3 linked regions of the Rattus norvegicus genome follow. The protein of the gene in region 3 binds, or shares a complex with, the protein of the main gene of each other region. Links are inferred from orthologs where the notes say so. Each region holds a gene or a part of one and is shown on either strand. Other genes may lie near its edges. The genes, in order: Sema6a, Nrp1 and Plxna2.

Region 1 (3,559 bases), on a different chromosome or scaffold from region 3:
TACTGAAGTCTTTTGTGAGTCCGACCTGCTGTATGACATGGCGGCGTGTGAAGGAAGAGAACGGAGGTTACTTGCTAAACCTTCACCAAACCACATGGCCCGATATTTTAGAGTATCCCTGTGTCCCAAGGAGGAGGACCCAGCGTCCTCAGCTCCTCCAGGGCCATCTTGGTGGATACCGAGGCAGTGGAGACCTTGCTCAGCTGCGTGGGTGCCTCGCCTCATCTGATGCTTCAACTCCTGGGCCCCAACCCCTGGGATTATGTACACGCATCATTGGGCTTCATGGATGTGGAAAGGGGGGCAAAGGAAGGTTTGGGGGGTACATCTGGCTTTAGCGAGGGGGTGCGCTTCAGCCCCGACCTCGTCAGTGAGTTGTAGGCATTGAGGCTGGGCTGCCTCGAAACAGTCACGGCCTGGCCAGAGGGCTGGGGGCTGTGCACCTGGATAGAGTCCACCCTCTGCGGGGCGGGAGGTGGGTTGTCTCCCCGGCCAAGGCTCTGGTTCCTGGAGAGGTGGGAGGAATTGGAGGAGTTAGTATTGTTTCTTTTGAGAGTGGTGGCCTGATGGCTTCTTGTGAGCGAGTTCGTGGGGTAGCTCCTCTTATATTCAAGCCCGTAGGAGGAGGAGTGTTGCATTTCCAGCCGCTTGCTCAGGCCGGTCTGGGACAGTGAGGCTCCCGTGGGACCCAGAGAGGCCTCACGCTGTGGAACTTTGGGGGGCAGGCTGTCCAGGTTCTCCACAAGGTTCACCCCATGGTTGGGACTCTTGCTGCTCAGGTGCTCTTTGATGGTCTTATACTCCAGGGTGGCAGCCTGGTCCTCCAGTGCCATCTGAGCCACCACCTCGCTCATTTTGGGCTGATCTACGTATTCGTGCTGGTAGCCCTGCTGTGTGATGGGCAGGACCACCACGCTGGGGATGTGGCTTGGGGAGGCCCGGAGAGGCAGGTCCGTGGGAATCACAGGGGAGCCCATGGGAGGCATGTCCTTGGTGCAGGCATTGATGAGGTTCTGGTTCCTCTCCCACTCGCGACTGCCCCGGTTGGGTTTCCGCTTCTGCTGCAGTGTTGGGGTGGACTCCGGGGTGGGCAGGGCGGTGAGGTCTAAGTGATGCTGGTCAGCCTTGATGAGCATCTTGGCGGTGTTGCTAGGCGTGGCCAGTTTGCCATTGTGCATGAGTGGTGTGAGGATGGCCTCAGGCTTTGGGTCCTTGGACTGACTGTCCCCAAAGAGGCCACTGAGCTTGGTGACACTGCTCATAGATCCCCGACGCGAGTGGGTGAGCTCTTTCTCCTTGCGTTGCACTACCGCCACGTCTTTGCGCCGGTGATCACACACACAATACACGATGATGCCGGAGAAGACTGCCCCCATGACAAAAGCCAGAATGACTGCAATGGCCAAAAGGGTGACAGGAACGAGCTGGTCGTTGCTTTTGAGGTAACTTTCCCGAATCACTCCTGTAATAGACATCGCACATGGCATTAAGAAACATAAAACACCCTGGGAGGCAATCACACTGTTAATTAATAACCGTAATAAGTGTCGATAGCACCTCTGCTTAGCTCATCTTCTGGGCGCAGCTTGCCAAACATTAACTAATTAATCCTCCCTGCCCCCACCCCACCCCAGCCAGCCCTGGCATGTGTATGTAAATCGATTTTATTTGTTGCCTTCTTTTGTGGCTTTTCTTCTGGCTGGCAGGGTCAAAATGTATTTATCTGTCTTCTCCTTTTGCTCTTTTCCCACTTCCTGTAGAATTAGAATAAATGAGCAATTTGGGCCTGGTGGAAGGAGCAACAATTTTATGCGTGTTAAACGAACAAATCACACAACAATCCAAGCTTTCCACTCAGTCTTTTCTTGATGACTGCCTTCTGACAAGAGGGCCTCTGTCTGGAGAAAGGCATGTTTGTTTTTGAATCTACAAGAGGATAGAGGGGTTTATGTCACCACAATGAAAAATAGCTGAAGCTCACAGGTTACAATATTTACATTTACTTTGCATGAAAATAAAGGAACCTCCCCCACTCAATTTCAGGTAAATACCCTGCAGACCTGAAAGACTATTTAAATCAGGGCCCCTGCTATGGGCTTGTAATGTGTCAGGTCCCATTATTACTCTTAGGGCTTGCTGTCACCATGAGAGTCTTCAGCAGAGCTGATCTCTTCGATTTAATAAAAATTTCGTGGCTACCCCTGTCTATTACCTTCCACTACATTAACCAAGAAGCCTCGATTCCGAAGGGAAAAAAAGACGCTGCCTTTTCTCTGCTACTTAATCAGTCACCAAGCTGAGTTCCTCTAATCAAGTGCAAAGGCTGGGGCTTTTATTTTTTAATACCAAGCGAGAACAGACATCACAACCCTCAGATCCTAAAGTGCTTGATGCTGGTAGCTAAAAAAAAACAAAGTCTCAAATACTTGCATCCCTGCCTGTGGAGAGGAGGGAACACGAATACATTAGAGGCACCGCACCAGGGAGTGCAAACATTGTTCCTATTCTGGAAAGATGGCAAGACAGAAAATGTACCTTGTCTGGTCTCCAGAGACACATTTTTCACCTGCTAAGTCAACCCTTTCTGGAATATGTTTAGTGTGCTTTTACTGACAACTGCGAGGGGCACCGAATTAGAATGAGATGACATAAGGACAAATCCCTGTCCACTCCTAAACTTCTGCCATTCCACCCTGAAACTTTCATTGGTTGTTGCTGTTACATTTTAAATGTCACAACCTAGACCTAGAAGAAACATAGCTCTGTCATGGGGGCGTTTCTGACTAAATATTTTGATTATTAAAGTGATAGTTTCGAAACCCAGAGGACCTAGCTGGAAGACCACACTCTTCTCTCTCAAGGACCCTTTTATAGTGTGACATCATCACATGTGTCTGTTGGGGAGGTGGGGGCAACCTTCCTGTGACAATGAACTGTGACTTCCAGTGGGAGTAGACAGAAGCAAACACCTTCTAAATGCAAGATTTTATGATTAAACAAATACCCTTGGTAATTGGGGGGGGGGGGAGGAACCCCCATGAAACACAGTGGAAACGGTAAGCTATTGAGCAATTTCTCATGTGACACTTTTCAAAGATTTCCAGACATATCTTCATGAGCTTTTTAAGGGATAAAAACCAAAGAGAAGAAGCAAAACAAAAAACCCAACAGGGAAATATGGTTCTAACTCACACATTATATGTGTGGTACTCTTAGACAGTGGGGTGGCTTGCATTCAAATATGTTTTAATACCTATGCCTGAAAGAAAATGTGCTAATGAAAATTTCTTCCCAAAAATTACATTTCCTTTTTGTTGGATTAAAATAGCAACTTATTTTCCTTCAGTTCTGATTGTGTATGAAATTCTATTGCACACGTTCCCAACTCCCTACACACAATTGAATGAACCAATGCATACACCTGTGACTACAATGGTTTCATTTTTCTCATTAACCTGGTGAGTTCTGCGTTTCTAACCATGGCAAGACTCTCATCTGTATAGGGTAGTGGGTGGGAGTTCTTACCATAACAGACATTTCACAGTATGGCTTTGGGTAC
Region 2 (3,652 bases), on a different chromosome or scaffold from region 3:
GTGACTTGTTTGTGCCTTCAGAACCTGGTGTGAAGAACATGTCACAACAACACACCCTACATCGGCAGCAGCAGGGAACATAGCTTTGCTGCCTATCCATGCTCTGAGATGACATCACAGCTGTTCCATTCCTTGAAGTCATTGTACAGAAAACTCTAGCTTCTAATGTGTTCCCCTAAGTCAAGAAAGGTTGGGTATAAAAAAGGACAAGTGGACTGGGGAGATAGCACAGTCAGTAAGGACTGAGTGTGATTCCTAGAAGCCAAGTAAAACTGCTGAGGATAGTATCATACACCTATAATCCTATCACTGGGGAGGCAGAGACAGGAGAACTCCTCAGTCTTGCTGGACTTAGCCTACATAATGGGTCCTAGACCTGAGAGAGACCCTGTCTCAAAATGTGAGGTGAATAGTATCTGAGGAATGATGGCTAAAGTGTCCTTTAGCTTCCACATGCTTGTGCATGGCATACCCAAGTACAGTCACACATACAAGCATGCATGCATACACAGAATCACAGTGGAAAGTAAAACGGACATAAGAAAGAAGTGAACTTATGAGCTGGGGCTATAGGTAAACCAATTGGTTGAGTTTCACCCAATATGCCCTGGAACCAGAGTTTCATTCTGTGGTACTGCATACATCAAGCAAAATGGGTATCCTGTCATCCCAGGAGGAGAAGCAGAAAGGTCAACATCAGCTACCTAGTTAGTTAGGACTCAGCCACAGTTGGAGCCTACATGAGGCCCCATCTCAGAAAAGAAAGAAAGTAGCCACATGCAATGCTGAAATGCTTTAGAAAACACAAGTTAATTCAGGGAGGGACACAGGCTTTCCCCAGCCAGAACACTGGTTTAGTCGGTGGTTAGGAGCTCCATTGCTGACCTGCAGCCTTTGGAAGATAGGGTATCACCCTCAAAGTCACATATCTAGAGGGAGGGAAGCTGGCAGCATGGCCGGGATTACTTCCTATCTGCAAGACCTTACTACACTGGTTGTAAAGTGAAAGAATGTCCCAGCCAATGAGCTGCAGTCTTCACCCATTGGGGAGCAGCTTTGGGTGGGTAGAATTAGAAAGTCCCAGAACAAAGGCCAAATGTGTTGGTGTGAGAAGTGTCACTGGGGTATGTGAAAACCTGGGGGCGGGTCCTCATTTTCATCCCAAATCCACTTAAGGCCACCCAAGCACATTCCTGGGACCCTTTCCAACTCGATGCGGTGTGCTCAGGAAGTACAAATAAACGAAGCCAACACTGAGTGAAACCTAGTGACCAAAGCATATCTTCTGGGTTTAAAACTTATACCACATTCTGTGAACGCTGGGATACAGTAATACTGAGATCGCCTTCTCTTTTCATTAGATTAGCAAGGAGTGACTGAGTCTTAAGAGGTTCCAAATTCATTAGAGTATTGCTAAGCATTATTTACAATAGCTAAAATTTGAAGAAAAAAAAAACCCTAGTATCCATTGGCAGTGAATGTATAATTAATTCGGCAGTGAATGTATACATTAATGTGGTTATTCACATGGCAGAACAGCATTCTTTTCTCAGAACGAATGAAATTGGGACCCACGATTCTTCACTCTTACACTATGCACAGAAACTGAAAGATTGGCTTAAAGGAGGCTCCAGGGTGGTTGGAGCCACAGGGCAGGAAGTGGAGTGGTGATGTACCAGGGACTCATGGGAGGGGAAGCTGAGAGGGATTACTGAATGTGCTCAGAGTCTCGGCTCCACCAGATGAACGATCTGGAGAAGAGTTGGACACAGATGTGAATTTATAAAGTCACTGTCTTGATGTATGCACGCAAAGGTTCAGATGGTAAATTCCATGCATGCTGTATCACAATTGAAGATGTATTTGTTTTGTTCTGTTTTGTTTTTTATCTTTTTGTTTGGAGACAAGGTCTCATTTTGTAACCCACCTGGGCCTAGAACTCACTATGTATCCAGGCTGATTGTTTTTGTCGTTTTTGTTTTAGCTCACAGAGATCCTCCATCTTCTGTCTCCTGACATACTTATCTCAACAAAGAAAAAATGTAAACCGTGTGGGGAGATGCAGTTCAGTGGGAGGGCAATTTTTTTTTTGTATCCACTTTCTTCAGTACCATGAACAAACAAACAAATGCTCTGGGGAGAATGTACTTGCTCTGCAGTGATGGGATCTGAGACTAGATCCTCCAGCACCCAAGTTAATGCCAGATTTGGCATGTTGAATCTGTAACCCTCATGCTAGAATGGTGGACACAGTAATCCCGGGAGCTTACTGAGAAGACAACATAGCCAAATCTGTGCTTCCCTGGGAAGCCTGACTTCTGCAAGGACATGAGAAGGGGCTTGGAAGATACATTAGCAGGTAAAGCATTTGCCATGGAAGCATGAGGACCTGGTTTGATCCCCAGAACCTATGCAAAAAGTTAATATAGTCGTGCACACTTGCAATCCTAGGCTTGGGAGGTAGAGATACAAGGATCAATGGGACTTACAGGCATAGATCTTGTTCCAGAAAACCAAGGTGGCTGGCTCCTGTGGGATCATATCCAAGGGTCACCTTTGGCCTCCACACTCATGTGTGTGGTGTTTTATGTTTGTGTGAGCAGATGTGTGTGCATGAACACACACACACACACACACACACACACACACACAAAACCAAACCACCATAAAAATACCAGGACAGGAGGATTTAACGTCTGCCCTGGGCTGGAGAAATGACTTCCTAGTGAGCCAGAGGGCAGGTAGTGTCTCCAGACAGTGGCTACTCCCTACCCCATGGCCTTACCTTAGCCTTGCGCTTGCTGTCATCCATGATCATTTTCCAGTCAGAACCATTGTTACTGTAGGCGATCTTGAACTTCCTCATGAACACTTTGTTTTCTCGGTGCTTCCCACCTTGAATGATGACACCTCTTACTATCTTCTCATCTCCCAGGTCCACTTGGAGCCATTCATTGATGTATGGGTGGGGTGAGGGTGGCAGGGCCCAGCCGGTTCGACTGGTCACCAGGCGGATGTTTTCTGGCATCCAGTTCCTGTCTCCTTGGTTGGATGCTGTAATCTGGGAGTCTGAAATAAGTCCAGACACCATGCCCAACATTCCAGAGCAAGGGTAATCTAGATGATGGGAGAAATAGATGGGCTGAGGTTATTTTCTCAGAGATGCCATGATTAGAAAGAAAACATAACCTTGTATCCATTTATATGATATCTCCAGTCTCTGTACCTTTACAATAGCAGAGTCTTCTCTTCTATAGGTCTCTACTGTCCTTAGACTCATATTCCCATTAAGAAAATCTTGATTCAGAGCATCACTGCCACCCCTCCCCGGATGCTTTTTAGTTCTCCCAAGTTTAATGTCAGTCTAAGGTTCCAGTCTCTTCTGTTCCTAGCAGTTGCTCCCACTTCAAGAAGTGTTGCCTACAAGGAATTTGTGGTTCACGACGGAACATGTGGCCAGAGATACTTAAGGAGATATACTCCCAAGCGAGAAATTGCTGAAGCAAAGTGAAGTTGGTAAGGAGGTGACAAAGGAAGAGCCTGGCTCAGCACGAAAAAAGAAAGAGGCGCAGAGAGCTCAGTGTCCACCTTATCTTACCTTCACCATCAACTGTCCTCAAGACCTATAGTTTTGTGTTTTTAGTTTAACGAA
Region 3 (3,652 bases):
CTGCTTGCCTGTGGAAGCCTCTACCAGGGTGTTTGCAAGCTCCTGCGGCTAGATGACCTCTTCATCCTGGTGGAGCCATCCCACAAGAAGGAGCACTACTTGTCCAGTGTCAATAAGACAGGAACCATGTATGGTGTGATTGTGCGCTCTGAGGGGGAAGATGGCAAGCTTTTTATCGGCACTGCTGTGGATGGCAAGCAGGATTACTTCCCTACCCTGTCCAGCCGCAAGCTGCCCCGTGACCCCGAGTCTTCGGCAATGCTGGACTATGAGCTCCACAGTGATTTTGTCTCTTCCCTCATCAAGATCCCCTCTGACACCCTAGCCCTGGTCTCCCACTTTGACATTTTCTACATCTATGGCTTTGCCAGTGGAGGGTTTGTCTACTTTCTCACTGTCCAGCCAGAGACCCCAGAGGGCATGGCCATCAATTCAGCTGGAGACCTCTTCTATACCTCGAGAATCGTGCGTCTCTGCAAGGATGACCCCAAGTTCCATTCCTATGTGTCCCTGCCCTTTGGCTGCACACGAGCTGGGGTGGAATACCGCCTTCTGCAGGCAGCTTACCTCGCAAAGCCAGGGGAAGCTCTAGCTCAGGCCTTCAACATCAGCAGTGAAGAAGATGTGCTGTTTGCCATCTTCTCCAAGGGGCAGAAGCAGTACCACCATCCCCCTGATGACTCTGCCCTATGTGCCTTCCCCATCCGGGCCATCAACTTGCAAATCAAGGAGCGGTTGCAGTCTTGCTACCATGGAGAGGGCAACTTGGAGCTCAACTGGCTGCTGGGAAAGGATGTACAGTGCACCAAGGCGGTAAGGAACTTCCCTGTGCTTTGTTCTCAATGTCTGTTCCTCTGAACCTTCAGCTTACGGGTTTGTAAGAGCCTGGGATAGGTAAGAAAGGGTTTCAGGCAACCAGGTGGTGACTACCAATTACAGAGTCTTCCCTACATCAGATTCTTGGGATAAGTTTGCTGATTCATTAAATCAAGACTAATGCGTGCCCTGTATGCTTACAGTGTACCAGGCACTGCATTTGGTACCTACTAGGCTACATGTCTAAGCTACGTGTTCTCAGAGAGCTTTCCTACTAGTGAGGCAAGACAAGTCAACACATAAAACAGCCTAGTTGGATGTGGTGGTACACACTTGTAATCTCAACACTTGGAAGAAATAAAGGCAGGAGGATTAGGTGTCCGAGGTCATCCCTTTGCTACATCGTGAGTTCAAGGCTAGCCTGACTACATGAGACTCTCTCAGACAAATAAAATGATACTGCCTGAAAAAAATGCTAAATTGACTTTAGAGGAAAATAAAGCAAAGTAGGGATCAGCAGTAGATAATGTCTGCCATTGAGAGAGTAGTACTTGGAGCAATGGCTAAAAGAGGGAAAGGAATTTCAGAGAGAGGCAGCAAGTGCTTAAGCATCAGATAGATAAACATCAAGGAATTCCCACAACTTGGTTCAAGCATATGAGAGAGGGTACCACAGCATACATGGTAAGAATTTAAGCTGTGACATCTAATCAATTAGATTAAAATCAGTTCTTCCACCTGTATCCTGTATGTCCTTGAGCAAGTCATGTGCTTTATTTGAGCTTTGAGTTTTTCATCATTAAAATAGAAATAATGTTACTTTTTTATTATGAGGATCATGATATCAATAATAGTTAAAATGCTTGGCACACATTAATCATTCAATAAGAGAGCAGCTGGGATTACCAATGCTAATCATATTAATGAAAGACTAGTTATTTGCCTGTTTTATCTTACTTTCATAAAACGGGGGAGTCCGAATTTAGGTATCTCCAGCTTGCTTTATAGCACTATAGTTGTGTAAACAAGGACCCTCTTCAAGCAAAGAAGTAGAGAGGAAATGTAAGGGTTAACTCCTTGCAGCATCCACCCTGGTTCCCATGGCCCAGAGCAGGCCTTGTCAAGAGGAAACTGCTGATTCCTGCTTGCTTTTCTGCCAAAGTTAAAAGGAAGAGGACACTGTGCTCTGCTCCAGTGGTGGTGGAGAGGGGCAAGTCCTGGCTAGTCCTCATGGGACGTCAGAAATACTGGGTAATGACTAGAAGGATGAATGCTTTATAGCAGCTCTCAACCTTCCTAATGCTGTAACCCTTTAATACAATCCTCATTTCATAGTGACCCCCAACCATAAAATTATTTTGTTGCTCCTTCATAACTGTAATCTTGCTACTGTTCTAACTTGTAAGTATCTGACATGCAGGGTATCTGATTTGTGACCCCAAAGGGGTTATGACCCACATGTTGAGAACCACTCTGCCTTATAAGAAACAACTTTTTCTCCTGTCATCCCCTGGGACAATACCATTTCAAGCACCAAAGTAGTAAGATGTGCAAGATGTTGGTCTCCCTGGATGCCTATAGTAAAAGGACCCCAGAGGTAGGAACTAGAAATGCTTTAGTGACCTTTGAGAAATTTAAAAATCAATGAGAAGTCATGGCCCCAAACTTGACTTTAACATAGTTTGGGGACTAACATGTACTTCTCGGGTCTAAGGTTTGTGTATTGCTTCCACAAAAAAGCACGAGGATGGGACCCATCACCCCAAGGGTATCAGTTACCTGTGAAGGGCTGTTTTGAGCAGTTGATTACCTCACCAGATTATCACAAATAAATCACTAATTATTATACCTTTTGTAGATAGAAAATCAAAGGCTCAGTAGGTAAATAAACTTCTCAGATCCATATGACTGAACTAGAAATCAGGGTCTGATAAAGGGCATCCCACAGACTCCTGATGCTGACTGTGGGGGGTCACTGTCTCTGATAAGAGTGGTACTTCAGTCACTCACTGTTGACACAAATAGAAAGGGGCATCAGGCATTAGGAATACCTGACAAGATAGTGAGGAAGAAATTGCCATCCAACCAAGGGCTCATGCTCAGAACAGACCGTTTTCTTTACAATTCTGGAGACTCTAACATCAGGGAAAATGCAGAGAAACCCACAGTTGACAGCAAGAGCTTTTCACTTCTGCCATTGTGACTCAAAAACTGGCTTAGGTTACAACTCTATAGATCTCCCAGAGAGATCTGGAAAAGTAGTGAAAAACACTGAAACCATGGAAGCAAACTATAAAGAATTTTGACAAAGACCTGACTTAATTCTTATTTTATAGATAAGACAAACAAACAAACAAAAAAACCCTAAGACCCAGGAGGGCATGCAATAATTAAGATATGCTGCCAATATGGTTAAGGACAGTGCTAAAATTTAGATTACCAAACTCTTATTGAACAGCCACTGCTCACAGAACAAGGGTGAGAAAGAGACAGCCAGGGTAGAGGGCAGTGGCTAGTAGCTGCCTGCTTGGCACTGCCCAGTAGCATGCTGGAAAATAATAAGCATCTGACTCCATATAACAGGGGAAGAGGGAGAGCTCTGGTCTATAGCACTTGGCAGTTCCCGTGGTATAAACACTGCCAGGGAGGATGACTTCAAACAGGAGTGATAACAATGACTGTAGATGCACACATAGACATCTCTCATGAGCTGGTATTAGCATACCATGGTTTCTCCCCTTCCAAGTTGCAGTGTGGAATCTCTGCCATCAGAGTTCATAGCCATTCTTACTCTAATTCTTCGTGTTCTCTCCTATGAGTGCTGATGCCTGTGTTG

What was found.
Region 1: the proteins of Plxna2 (region 3) and Sema6a are in contact, whole or in part, in a crystal structure (PDB 3AL8), measured with the Mus musculus proteins. The link is inferred for Rattus norvegicus from reciprocal best matches to the Homo sapiens genes PLXNA2 and SEMA6A. Residues at the interface, in NP_032908.2 of Mus musculus: Ala93, Cys94, Tyr95, Pro96, Lys155, Gln192, Asp193, Tyr194, Asp220, Phe221, Val222, Pro229, Ser230, Asp231, Leu386, Lys389, Val391, Thr394, Lys395, Ala396, Pro397, Val398, Leu407, Asp408, Ile409, Asn410, Gln411; in NP_061214.2 of Mus musculus: Arg108, Met109, Lys110, Gly111, Met162, Ala163, Thr188, Phe190, Leu191, Ile193, Tyr198, Thr206, Arg208, His212, Asp213, Ser214, Glu219, Gln266, Arg267, Glu270, Lys271, Lys393.
Region 2: the proteins of Plxna2 (region 3) and Nrp1 are in contact, whole or in part, in a crystal structure (PDB 4GZA), measured with the Mus musculus proteins. The link is inferred for Rattus norvegicus from reciprocal best matches to the Homo sapiens genes PLXNA2 and NRP1. Residues at the interface, in NP_032908.2 of Mus musculus: Asp273, Leu274, Phe275, Glu306, Lys341, Gly342, Gln343, Lys344, Gln345, His348, Pro350; in NP_032763.2 of Mus musculus: Glu78, Arg80, Asp81, Lys83, Tyr84, Asp126, Tyr127, Glu128, Thr129.

Annotation. Positions count from the first base shown.
Region 1 is NC_086036.1:42,239,998-42,243,556, forward strand, and holds part of Sema6a (semaphorin-6A isoform 1 precursor), read right to left. Parts: intron 1,463-3,559; coding exon 261-1,462; 3' UTR 1-260. UniProt on the Homo sapiens protein: Cell surface receptor for PLXNA2 that plays an important role in cell-cell signaling. Required for normal granule cell migration in the developing cerebellum.
Region 2 is NC_086037.1:73,374,969-73,378,620, reverse strand, and holds part of Nrp1 (neuropilin-1 precursor), read right to left. Parts: intron 3,118-3,652; coding exon 2,786-3,117; intron 1-2,785. UniProt on the Homo sapiens protein: Cell-surface receptor involved in the development of the cardiovascular system, in angiogenesis, in the formation of certain neuronal circuits and in organogenesis outside the nervous system. Mediates the chemorepulsant activity of semaphorins.
Region 3 is NC_086031.1:108,715,470-108,719,121, forward strand, and holds part of Plxna2 (plexin-A2), read left to right. Parts: coding exon 1-813; intron 814-3,652. UniProt on the Homo sapiens protein: Coreceptor for SEMA3A and SEMA6A. Necessary for signaling by SEMA6A and class 3 semaphorins and subsequent remodeling of the cytoskeleton. Plays a role in axon guidance, invasive growth and cell migration.